Linked DNA regions of Mus musculus. The main gene of each other region encodes a partner of the protein of the gene in region 2 in a complex. Each region holds a gene or a part of one and is shown on either strand. Other genes may lie near its edges. A codon is read from its position in the direction of its gene.

Evidence for each region. The genes of interacting proteins can lie anywhere in the genome.
Region 1: the proteins of Ap1m1 (region 2) and Ap1g1 are in contact, whole or in part, in a cryo-EM structure (PDB 7R4H), measured with the Mus musculus proteins. Residues at the interface, in NP_031482.1 of Mus musculus: Ser289, Asn318 (codon at 29), Asp319 (codon at 32), Ala320 (codon at 35), Asp321 (codon at 38), Ser322 (codon at 41), Trp334 (codon at 77), Pro336 (codon at 83), Glu337 (codon at 86), Asn338 (codon at 89), Ser339 (codon at 92), Gly361 (codon at 2,221), Leu362 (codon at 2,224), Pro363 (codon at 2,227), Ser364 (codon at 2,230), Val365 (codon at 2,233), Glu366 (codon at 2,236), Ala367 (codon at 2,239), Glu368 (codon at 2,242); in NP_001288140.1 of Mus musculus: Arg24, Glu25, Gln28, Lys29, Ala32, Arg35, Ser36, Arg39, Glu40, His64, Phe65, Gln67, Leu68, Gln97, Val99.
Region 3: the proteins of Ap1m1 (region 2) and Ap1s1 are in contact, whole or in part, in a crystal structure (PDB 1W63), measured with the Mus musculus proteins. Residues at the interface, in NP_031482.1 of Mus musculus: Lys12, Glu31, Asn186, Asn188, Val189, Leu190, Glu232, Glu234, Asn270, His272, Arg421 (codon at 3,237); in NP_031483.1 of Mus musculus: Lys26, Lys30, Arg33, Glu34, Gln37, Lys43, Glu51, Trp52, Arg53, Asp54.

What each region holds. Positions count from the first base shown.
Region 1 is NC_000074.6:109,777,432-109,781,387, reverse strand, and holds the start of Ap1g1 (AP-1 complex subunit gamma-1), read right to left. Parts: upstream 2,806-3,956; 5' UTR 2,426-2,805; intron 1-2,425. UniProt on the Homo sapiens protein: Subunit of clathrin-associated adaptor protein complex 1 that plays a role in protein sorting in the late-Golgi/trans-Golgi network (TGN) and/or endosomes.
Region 2 is NC_000074.6:72,253,510-72,257,018, forward strand, and holds part of Ap1m1 (AP-1 complex subunit mu-1), read left to right. Parts: coding exon 1-124; intron 125-2,187; coding exon 2,188-2,313; intron 2,314-2,597; coding exon 2,598-2,673; intron 2,674-3,225; coding exon 3,226-3,248; 3' UTR 3,249-3,509. UniProt on the Homo sapiens protein: Subunit of clathrin-associated adaptor protein complex 1 that plays a role in protein sorting in the trans-Golgi network (TGN) and endosomes.
Region 3 is NC_000071.6:137,043,304-137,047,604, reverse strand, and holds the start of Ap1s1 (AP-1 complex subunit sigma-1A), read left to right. Parts: upstream 1-1,496; 5' UTR 1,497-1,594; coding exon 1,595-1,597; intron 1,598-1,704; exon of another isoform or gene 1,705-2,568; coding exon of another isoform or gene 2,569-2,625; intron 2,626-4,301. UniProt on the Homo sapiens protein: Subunit of clathrin-associated adaptor protein complex 1 that plays a role in protein sorting in the late-Golgi/trans-Golgi network (TGN) and/or endosomes.

The DNA of each region.
Region 1 (3,956 bases), about 38 Mb from region 2:
AGTTCCAGGCCAACCTGAGCTACATAGGAAGACTGTCTCCAAAACCAAAAGCTGGGTCAGTACTGGTGGCACAGACCTGTTAATCTTAGCTACTCAAATAAGGTAGGAGGGTCACAAATTAAAGCCAGCCTCAGCAACTGAGCTAAAACCATGTTTAAAAAAAAAAAAAAAAGGCAGGGGGGGGTGGGGAGGGAAGAAGGAAGGAAATAAATGGAAGTTTACTAAACACAAATGTTAACTTCTAGTGCAATTCTCAGCAGCCAAGACAAAGTAGACATTCCTATATGTGCTGATCAGTGGTACACAGAACAGCACTTTGCTAATAATTTGTTTAGCAAAAGGGTACTTTCTCAAGGTAAACTGCAAACCATCTAAGAATGAATGACATTTAAATCCCAGTATGTTAAACCATAACATGAACTGAGTTAAATAACTTTGATAGTTCTTTCAATACTTGTTCAAAAAGTGAACTCAAAAACTGAAAATTTCACCATGCAAGGAGACAGAAGCCCCGAGTTCTTTTTAAAGCAAAAGAAAAGGGAACAACTTTGGAGCAACACACAGAACTCATATCTGACAAGACTAACATAGCTCTGAAGGAACTTCTCAAAACAAATGACAAGAGCACAGACTATCTGCATGAAAACACTGTCCTCCGTGACACTGTATGACCTGTAAGAATTGACCTGTTCTCACAGTTCAAAAGCTTGATAAGAATAAAGCAGCGTCACAGGGCTGGAGAGACAGCTCAACAGTTAAAAGCACTGACTGCTCTTATACAAGACATGGATTCAGTTCCCAGAACCCACACGGCAGCTCACACCTGCCTAGAATTCCATTTCCAGAGGATCCAAAAACCCTCTTGTGACTTCCACTGGAACTGAGTGTGCACATGATACACATATAAATACCGGCAAGACATTCAGATAAAAATATAAATAAATCTTCAAAAATGTTAAATAGAGCATCAATATAAAGTTTACAACTATTGAGAGACTTGACTTGCTTCAAGTTATAAACTTAGGTTTCGAGTCACCTGTGATCTCAAAGAAGTTATTCTCTTTTGCAGATGCAAAAACCTAGGCTGAGATAAAACGGGCTGGGGGGGTGTGATTCAACCACACTCACCTAACTTGAAATGTAGGAAATAACCAGTGAATTATTGTGAAATGTTTTTTATTCACGCATACTGGACTGCAGGAATACTTTAAGAACAGAATTAATGAAGCTATCATTACTTTGAAGATCCACAGGTTTCAAATCAAACGTCTGGCAAATACTCCAGGCAACGGTGGAAATGGATGCTTAAAATCTAACTAGTCTGAGAAAAGTCAACATAAGAAGTCAGCAGCGTTCATTACTATACAAACACCTGAGGGGTGCGGTCACTAAGAGACCATTCAGCTCGCTCTTCTGTTAACTAATCCCTATAGGAACCAAAAAAGTTATCTTCCTTTCTACCTACGTCAGATTATTATTCTCCAAGGGCAGCTTTCCATGCTCAAGCAAATATAACGCTAAAAGAAAAAAATAAATAAAAAGTATCAGTAAGTGCCCCAAAGCTCAGCTTTCAGAACAGAAAGAAATGCAGAAAGTTATTTTCACAGCTCCTTCGCACCCAAAGCCACTTGGCCTGCTTTAAACCCATTTGCTGCGGAAATACACCCTAGGGTGGTTCGACGGCTCTCCGACACCAAGCCCTAACTGGGAAGCAGAACCGACAGTTCCAGGCAATGAGGAAGAGCCTGAGAATTACTAGAAACCGACGTCCGCAGAACCGAGAGTTGGAGAGGAGAGTGAATAGTGCGGTCTCAGGTGAGTTCTTTAAAAGAAAAAGAGAAAGAAGAAGAAGGAAGAAGAAAAAAAAAAAAGCGAAAGTGTTTGGACCAGAAGTTAGTTGGAAGGTTAGAGGGAGGCGAGGCCGATGTCCGGCTTTCAGTGGACGGCACTGCAGGGACCAGGCAGAATTGCCCCTGCGTGGGAAATGCTCAGAGTTCTCAGATCTGACCCGAGTCCCCAACACAAGAACGCTGATACGTGGCTCCGAGAGGACACGCGGGGGTGGGGCCCGGCCCCGCTAAATCCTAAGCTCCCCGAACGGAGCGAGCTTTCAAAGGAGCCTCGCAGCCTGAGAAAGTCAATGGGTTCAAGGAGGCCTGCGGCGGCCAGACCACGCCAAGGGAAGAGGAAAGCGACCGCGCACGACAGCTCCGGCTCTGAAGCTCCCGAGGTCGGCCCTCAGGAAGTCCAAGCAAGCCCGGGGCTCCCGGGTCCCTCCTGACCCAAACCTGGGTCCTCCTCACCCCCCACCCCCCACAGGCTGAGCCCGGACCCCTGGGACTGACAGGAGGTTTCCGGCCAGACGCTCGCGGCTGCGGCAGAGCCCAAGAGCCGACCCGCCCTCGGTGCCGCGAGTGACACTCACCGGCCCGAAACCTCGAAGGAAACCAGCAGCTTCGGGGGCGGCGGCGGCAGTGGCAGCAGGAACCGAACATCCAAAATGGCGGCTCCCTCGGCCTCAGCACCGCGACTGCAGGCGGAGGGATCCCGGGCGAGGAGGGCGCCTCTACCTCACGCCTCGCGCTTCCCCGGGAGACGCCGCTCCCCGGCTCCCTCTCGCCGGCCGCCCCGCGTCCCTCCGACTGCAGCCCGTGCCGTCTCCCACCCCGGATGACCCGAGGACTCGGCCCCCGCCGAGGACTATTTGCCGAGGAGGAGGCGACTGCGCCGGGCAGAGCGACTCAAAGCGTAGCAAGGGTCGGGGCTGTCACTGATGACGCTCGACGCCGCTGCCGAGTCACCGCTGCGAGGAGTCTGAGCTAGCACGCTCCGGCCCGGCCCTGGAGCCGTCGCACTTTGGTTCCGTTCTGGGGGGAGGGGAAAACTGTGCAGCCAGGAAACGGTGGGGGTCACCTGAGGTGGGCGGAGCTCAGCGAGGGAGCTGGGGAAGGCGGAGAGGAGATGCAGGGGAAAGCGCATAGACATGGTGTGACCAGTTTTGTCCGAAAGGATTCCTAAGTGGTCCTCGTTGGCCAGAGGTTTCTGGTCAACATTAGAAACATGCTCCAAGTGGCTTTGGATTCTAGGGTTTTATGGTATCTTCAATTTTTTTTTTTTTTTTTTTTTTTTTTTTTTGCGAAAACAGGTAAAAAGATGAAACCTAAGAATGGATTCCAAGCACAGCACCACCGCCTTGTGCGGCAATCTCACCTACGATCCAGTCCCCTCCTGTGAGGGGAAAAAAGAATCTGGACAAATGTCAGCTAAAACTCTTCCAGAATAGCTTTTCCATCTATGATTGAATGAACTAATGACCTGAAGCAAAGAAAGTCTAACTAGACAGTTCCTGGCGTGATAAATAATTACTAACTTGTGACCCAAGTCTTTTCCATGTGAACCTAGAGATCCTTGATATCTTGGCCCATTTAAAGGAAAGGTGACCTACCTAGAATAAAATCTTTCCGATAGATTGACAACAAAGGTATCCCAGATGTGAATAAAACACAAGACTACACTGAATACCAAAGACCAGGAACTAAGCAAAAATCCTGAGTTTCAAATTTGAGTGTCATAAACAGGAAGTTGCATCTTTTAGACATTCGTTTTTCATGCAAGGATTTCAAAATACAGACGTTGAGCTGAGTAAGTCTAGCCATACAATTTTGACCTTGAATTTCTGGAGCATGCCAAGTGGCTGGAAAGAAAGGATACCAAGGGCACGATCAAATTTATTAAATATTGGTGTCATATTGATCATAAGGTACCATCGTATGTACAACCTAGCCCGCTAAGCAATCTCGTGAGTCAAAGTAAGTAACCAAAGTTTACAAATAATGAGATTTAAGACTTGAGAAAAACTACAACTGTCTCTCACAATGGAGTCTGCCTTAAGATGTCATCTTACACAGAAAATTCACCACACCCCATATACATATTCCAACCCATACCTACCGGTT
Region 2 (3,509 bases):
CAATGTAGAGATCCATATACCAGTCCCCAACGATGCTGATTCACCCAAGTTCAAGACTACAGTGGGGAGTGTCAAGTGGGTCCCTGAAAACAGTGAGATCGTGTGGTCCGTCAAGTCCTTTCCGGTGAGCCCCATATTTGCCAGGTACCCCAAAATATCTTCCCAAGACCCATCCCTGTGCCACCTTGGGAAAGGTGTTTCCTTTCAGTGAGGGGCAGTCCTGCTTAGTGGCATCCTGGTCCCAGGAACACTGCAGCCCCTCTCTGTACCCTACAGGACTAGGGGAGAGCTGGCTATAGATCCATCCCAGGAGAGCTTTCACTTGGTGCTGCAGCACAGCCACAGTGCGCAGAGGACCGCATACAGTAGGATTCCCTGGTGCACCTCCACCCTTATCTTTGTCCTCACCAGAGAAGAAATAGTGAGAGCCAGGGCTGCCTTCATCTTTCTACCCTTTCTGTGTACTGGAGATGATCCCAAGGTACCCCAAGCATGGTAGACTCTCCTACTGTCCACACTGACTTAAGGGCCTCCCAGAGTTGGGGATTATAGGTGGGAAGGATGGCCAAACTCAGGGTAGATGCTGCCTGGCCCTGGTGACCACTATTGCACTTTCCCAGCCTTTTGTCACATGGCACAGTGGCAAAGCTCATCAGTGTCCTACATATTGCTGCAGTCCTTTTTAAGGCCAGGTAGTACTCCACACCATGCCCCTTCCTTTTTCACTGATAGGCACTCTTGGTGCACCCAAGTTATGCTGCAGTGGATATTAGTGCACAGGGCTCTCCTCCATACCCTGCTTCCTGTTCTCAGGCATACACCCACAAGAGAATGATTTGCCATTAGAATTGTTAGAATTGTTTGAGGCTCTGCCTTGGTGTTTTGTGTAGCAGTGGCACAGTGTCATTCCTGCCAGAGGTGCTTAACAGTTCTGGATTCTTGTCCATCACATTTTTGTCTTTGTCTTTGAGGTTGGGTCTTACTATGTAGCACTGTTTAGACCAGGCTGGCCTCAAACTCACAGAGATCCACCTGCCTCTGCCTCCCCAGTGCTATGGTTAGAGGCGTGCTCTGGTATCTGTCCTCATGTTTCCTTGGTCTTTGATTTGTGACTGTGCACCCAAAGCAATACTGCAGCCACTGACCCAGTCCCCAGCCCAGTCACACTCCCTCCTTTAAGTTCAGTCCACTCACTGGTAATTTTTACATTAGTGTTGATGCAGATAAACATTTCTTCCAGCTCCACCCTAAATCTGTACCCATGAAACCTACAGTGTAACATGCAACACCATTTTCTACAACTTCTGTTTTCACATAGAAGTTGTTTTGTATTTTTATTTTGTAGTGACTTTGTTTGAAACAGGGTCTCCCTGGATAGTGTCAGTGGTCTGCAACTCATTCTGTAGCCCAGAGTGACCTCAAACTCTTGTATCCCAGGCTGGCCTTAAACTTGCCACCTTCCTCCTGCCCTGAATGCTGAGATTGCTAGGCCCTGCTTACTCTTGTGTTTCCTGTGAGCAGGTCTTCTCTTTCCATTTCCCCTTACTTTGTTGTTAGGCACCAGGAGTCAGAAGGCTGTTTGCTCCAGCTCCCATGCAGATGTCATGGCATCCTTTATGGATGGGAGCTGATAAAGGGGAGTTAGGCTATGGAAGCTCTGTCCTGCTGCACCCCAGCTCCTAAGCATGGTCCTAGTCACAGCCACTCCTGCTGCCCCTAAGTGTGAGCTCAGGAAACCAAAGGCCACGTGTCGTGGGTATAACAGAGTTGGGGTGCCAGACAGAGGGGACAGCCAAGCCCAGGCCTGATGTGCTACCTGGCCAGAGCAGGGCAAGTGTCTCAGCTACCTGACTGGTCCCACTCTCACACCACCTCCAAGTTATTGCTGGACTCCTGGAAACCTGCACCTGCCCACACTTCAGTGTCCTCCCTCTCCCTGTTCACAGTCCCCTTGGGGCTGTGCAGGAGGACCCACCACTCTCCCCAGTGTGCTCCCGTGCTTTCCTTGTGGACCTGTCTGGACAGTCTGGCTCCACAGCCACCTATCCGTCTCCCTAGGAGCTGGTAAAGCCACTTCACACCCTGTCTGTCCTGCTTTGGCTCCTGGGAGCCATGAGCTAGCCTGAGAGACAGCACATTGGTTGTGGGCTGGGCAGCCACCTAACTACCTCCTACATCGGCCCCCAGGGTGGCAAGGAGTACCTGATGCGGGCCCACTTTGGCCTTCCCAGTGTGGAAGCTGAAGACAAGGAGGGAAAGCCCCCCATCAGCGTCAAGTTTGAGATCCCCTATTTCACTACCTCTGGCATCCAGGTATGAATGTGTTAGGTCTGACTGCCTGAACCCCACACTTGAGCCCAAAGTCACAACAGAACCTCCAAACCCCCATCCTGACATAGGGCCTATTTCCTTGGAGCCCCTCAAACTGTGTGGATGAGGGGAGCATATTATTCCCCTGAAAGGCTCAAGGTTACCAAGCCTGGGTCTTGGCTGCCTCTGACAGCCCCTCATACAATGTCAGGCCTGCCCCCTTGGCCTTGCCTTTTGGATGAGGGGTGCTGGTGGGGGTGCAGCACACTCAAGGTCCTTGTGTCCAGGTGCGCTACCTGAAAATCATTGAGAAGAGTGGGTACCAGGCCCTGCCCTGGGTACGATATATCACACAGAACGGAGGTAAGTGGCTGCCTGACTGGCAGGACCTACAGAGGTCTTTCTAGACTGTATCTTCCTATGTGGAGCTGAGGGTGGGTGCTCTGGGTGTCTGTGTGGAGCTGAGGGTGAGTGCCCTGGGTGTCTGTGTGGATCTGAGGGTGAGTGCCCTGGGTGACCATGTGGAGCTGAGGGTGGGTGCCCTGGGTGACCATGTGGAGCTGAGGGTGGGTGCCCTGGGTGACCATGTGGAGCTGAGGGTGGGTGCTCTGGGTGTCTGTGTGGAGCTGAGGGTGGGTGCCCTGGGTGTCTGTGTGGAGCTGAGGGTGGGTGCCCTGGGTGTCTGTGTGGAGCTGAGGGTGGGTGCCCTGGGTGTCTGTGTGGAGCTGAGGGTGGGTGCCCTGGGTGACCATGTGGAGCTGAGGGTGGGTGCCCTGGGTGACCATGTGGAGCTGAGGGTGGGTGCTCTGGGTGTCTGTGTGGAGCTGAGGGTGGGTGCCCTGGGTGTCTGTATGGAGCTGAGGGTGGGTGCCCTGGGTGTCTGTGTGGAGCTGAAGGTGAATGTTCTGTTTTTAGATTATCAGCTCCGGACCCAGTGAGAGGCCTCTGCCACCAGCCCAGCCCACCTAGCCTCAGGGCACACCTGCCACACTCACCAAAACTGAAGCTAGAGGGTGGCCCTGGACATGCAGCCACCCTCTCCTCAAGCCTGAGTGGACTCACACAGAACCCCTTCCCTGGTCCCATTCTGATCCAGGGTGGGAAGGAAGGGCCTGCCAGCCTCCCCCAGGGACAAGCCAGCTGGAGCTGTGCTCCTGGTGCCTCATGACTGGCCACCCACCACCCTGTAGACGCCATCC
Region 3 (4,301 bases), on a different chromosome or scaffold from region 2:
TGCTCTCTTTACATAGCCTAGTCTGGCCTTGAACCCTCTTGACCAGTCCTCTTGCCTCTGCCTCCCCAGGGACCAGATTACAGGCATGTGCACAATAATGCCTGGCTAAATTGTTTTGTTGCTCAACGATTTTTTTTTTTGACATTGTGTCTCAGTCCATAAAATGAACTAGCTATGTAGTCAAGAGTCATTTTGAACTCTTGATCTTAGTACATCTGCTTGTACCTTCCAAATAATCACATAATAGGTGTATACCAGCACATCCAGTTTGGTACACACACACACACACACACACACACACACACACACACACACACACACACACATATTCCTCCATAGCCCCAAAACTGGTCATGACCTCTTGCTCTTCCTGCCTCAGCCTCTGCAGGGCTGGGATTGTGACTTGCCTCACCACACCCAGTTCTGGAATCCCACTCTTGCTTGCTTGACAGAGCCACACTGTGTAGTCTAGGCTGGCTGTAGCCTTCTGGCTATGGGGATTACACCACACCCCTTTAATACTATAAGATTCTCTTCATTTCTTCCCCTTTCTCCTTAATTTACAATTTCCTCCCATTCTTTATATTCCTGTTACAGTATTCCCATTTTCAACAATTTTTTTATCCCTGATTTTTATCCCTGGTTTAGTTTTTTTTTAAGATTACATTTTACAAGTGTATTTTGTGTTGCCTGTGACCATGTCTGTCTGTCTGTGTGTGTGTGTATATATGTGTGTGTGTGTGTGTGTGTGTGTGTGGTGTATACAAGCTAGGGTGCTTGCTTATACAGAGGTCAGAGGACAATTTGCAGGAGTCAGTTCTTTCTTTCCACCTTGTGGGTTTGGGGAAACATCTTTACAATCCGAACCATCATATCTGCACTGTTTTGTGTCACTTTTGTTGTTGTTGTTGTTGTTGGAGACAGGCTCTCTGTGGCCTTGGGTGGTCAAGACCGTGCCATGTAGCTGCAGCTGAACTCCTGTCTCTGCCTTCCAAGTGTAGAGATCACAGGATACACCACCACACCTGCCTTGTTTGCTTTGGGGACAGGATCTTGCTTGCTCTGGAACCCTGAGCTGTCCTTGAACTCTTTATTCTCCTAGCCTACCGGTCTCTATTTCCCTCATCCTGCCCATCACCACCCTCTGACTGATGTTTTCCACATCATTCCTCCCAACTTCTTCATCAGCTCCAAAGATCGTGCATACACCTCTCACCCTTTTCCCGCCTTTTTCCCCCACAAATGCTCCAAAGCTCGAAGTCCTCATTGTCCTCTACCCCCTCCCTTCCCATCCTCCAATCAACCCACCAAGACAGCCCTGTTACCATGACGACCAGGCTTTTGCAAAACTGAAGTCAAGGACCTGGTTGCCATGGTTTCCGCTTCTCCGCCTCCAGCCCCGCCTGCGCGCCGGATGAGATGGGGGTGGGTCGCTGCAGCGTTGGCGCCTGCGCAATGCGTCCGTGCTTGGAGCCGGCGAGGCCTTGGGGCGGGGCTTCAAGCGGAGAGGGAGGGAAAAGAAAAGAATCCGACTGGGAGTGGAGCTGGCTTCTACGGTGGCCGGAGAGGGACGCACCGGGCTGGAGGCTGCAGGATGGTAGGCTGTGAGGAGAGGGAGGGGACGGGGACCCGAGGGGCGTGGGCTGTACCTGCAGGGGTCCGGAGGGGGGCTGCCCTTTGTGGGAGTCGCCCTGTCTTCCCTGTGGTCCGCAAAGGATCCACTTCCTGGAGCTGCTGGAGAGAGCTGACCTCGGAAGCTGGAAATGGCACTAGGGACAGGGGTTGGGAGGAGTCTTGCTGGTTAGGAGAGAGGGGACTAGAGCTGAATGGTGGCGGGACTGTCCCGAGCCTGGAGAAGCGCTCGGGACTCTGGGAATCTTTAAGACCCTCCCAGGCACTGCCGCAGGGAAGGCACGAGGTTGGGGCGCCGGGGTCACTCGGGATGGTTGCAGGTCGCCGAAACCCCTTCCCTTGAGGCCCACACTGGAGCATGGCCCATGGAGAGCTCGGTGTGGGAGGGAACAGTTTCCGGGTCTCTGGAGTGAACCTCCTGTCTCGCTTCCTTGACAGCTCACCCGGAGTTCTGGCTCAGGTGGGCTCTAGGGTTTGCCGTCGGGGACCTAGGCTCTGGAAGACTCCCTACTTTGGCAATCCCAGCTCTCCACCCTCTCCGGGGCATTTTCTTTTCCGGAACCCAGGCCTTCCTGCTGTAGCTGTCACCTCCTTTTCTTAACTACACAGGACTCCCTCAGTTCTTCACCTTCCCTATCCCCCCCACCAACAGTACTTACTTCTAGCTTCTGGGGTGTTGTTTTCTTTTAACTTAACCTGCTAAACTGGAAGTGTGGGACACACACAGATATCCCAACCCGGGCCATGTTCTCAGAGCTGTTTGCTGGGAATTGAGTTCAGGATATGGAATGAGGAACCTCTGCAACTGGTAATAAAACTAGGGCCATGCGGGAAGCAGTGAGGACTCTGCTTGCTAGTTATTCCACAGACATTCCCTAGGAGAGCCCTCCAGGGTGACTATGCCCCTGTCTGAGGGACCCAGTGATCAGTCACCTGATGTCTCAGAAGAAAGGTCAGGCCTTAGAGTGCACACCTGTAACCTGGTACTCAGAGGTAAGAAAAAGGGAGATCAGAAAACCAAGGGCAGCCTTCGCTACTTAGGGAATTGAGATCAGCCTGTGCTACATGAAACATTGTCTCACAAAAGAAAGACAGAAAAGAGGGCCAGAGAGACGGCTCAGCTTGTCCGGGTGGCTGATAACCTGAGGTCATTCCCAGGAGCCATGTGGTGGAAGGAGGGGACTGACTCCTCCTCTGACCTCTGCATGTAAGTGATGGCACGTGGGTGCCCCACACATACGTGTAAAAGAATATAAAAGAACGCTTTAAAGAAACTGGAAGCCGAGCGTGGTGGCACACACCTTTAATCCCAGGACTAGGGAGGCAGAGGCAGGCAGATCTCTGAGTTCGAGGCCAGCCTGGTCTACAAAGTGAGTTCCAGGACAGCCAGGGCTACACAGAGAAACCTTGTCTAAAAAAAAAAAAAGCTGGGAAGAGAGGCAGTATGTGGAACTAAATGTGTGGATGGTGGAGAAAAATGGAGGGTAAAATCTGAATATTTCTGCCAAGCACAGTTCTATTTATATACACTACTCAGGGAAGAGTATCGACAGGTATGGGACTGACGAGAGGCCATATTGAGTCAGAGGCATCTGAAGGTTTATGGCAGGATCGGGTAGGGCGTCTGTGAGACATGGCGTCTAGAAGAACACACAGAGAACTGTTGTCTGTTGGCCTCAGCTTATCATGAGGCTAGGCATCTTCTCCATGGAAAACAGGGTTAGGAAACAGAAGGTCAGGGGAAAATAGCAGCACCTAGCATGTTACAAGTCCTACTGTGTGTCAGGCACCCTCATAAATGAACAAACCCACTATGTAGACACATGCGCACATACACAGAATTAAAACTAATAAAAATGTGCTGGAGAGATGGCTCAGTAGTTAAGAGCATGCGTTGCTCTTGCAGAGGTCCTGAGTCTGATTCCCATCACCCACATGGTGGCTCACAACCATCTATAACTCCGGTTACGGAGGACTCAACAGGCGTGCATGTGTCACACATACATGTGGGCACATAAATATCATACACATAACGTAAATCTTTAATGATAATAACAAATCTTAAAAGACCTCCAGAAGAAAGTATTATTTCTATCCTGCGGATAAAGAAATGGAGCTTTAAAGACTGCTTAATCCTTTTCAAAACCAATCAGACTGCTCAGTGGGTAAAGGCCCCTGTGGCCGAGCCTGACTGACGAGCTGAATTTGATCCCTGGAGCTCACACAGTAGAAGCAGAGAACCAGCTCCCCAAAGTTGTCCTCTGACCTATACACACACACACACAAATAAGTGTAATAAAATGTTTTTACATTTAGTTTACCATATGTGTGTGGGTGGGTGCTTGCTCCATTATGATCGTGGAGAGAGGACAGCTCGTGGGAGTCCGTTCTCTCCTGTAATGTGGGTCATGGGTATTGAGCATGGGTCATCGGGCTTGGTAACTGATTTAGCTATCTTGCTAGCCTAGTATACATTAATTTGCCTGAGGCTGTACTCGAGCTAGTAGAGCCAGTATTTGAACCCAAATCACAGGCATAAGATTCTTTGACTTTCCCCCAGGAAAAAAAAACGATCCTCCTTGTGGGGACACCCAGCATTGACAGCGAGGACAGGGGTTTTCAAGAAGGTATCAAGGAACAGTGGGGGAGTCTGGGGCTGTATGTTTGTG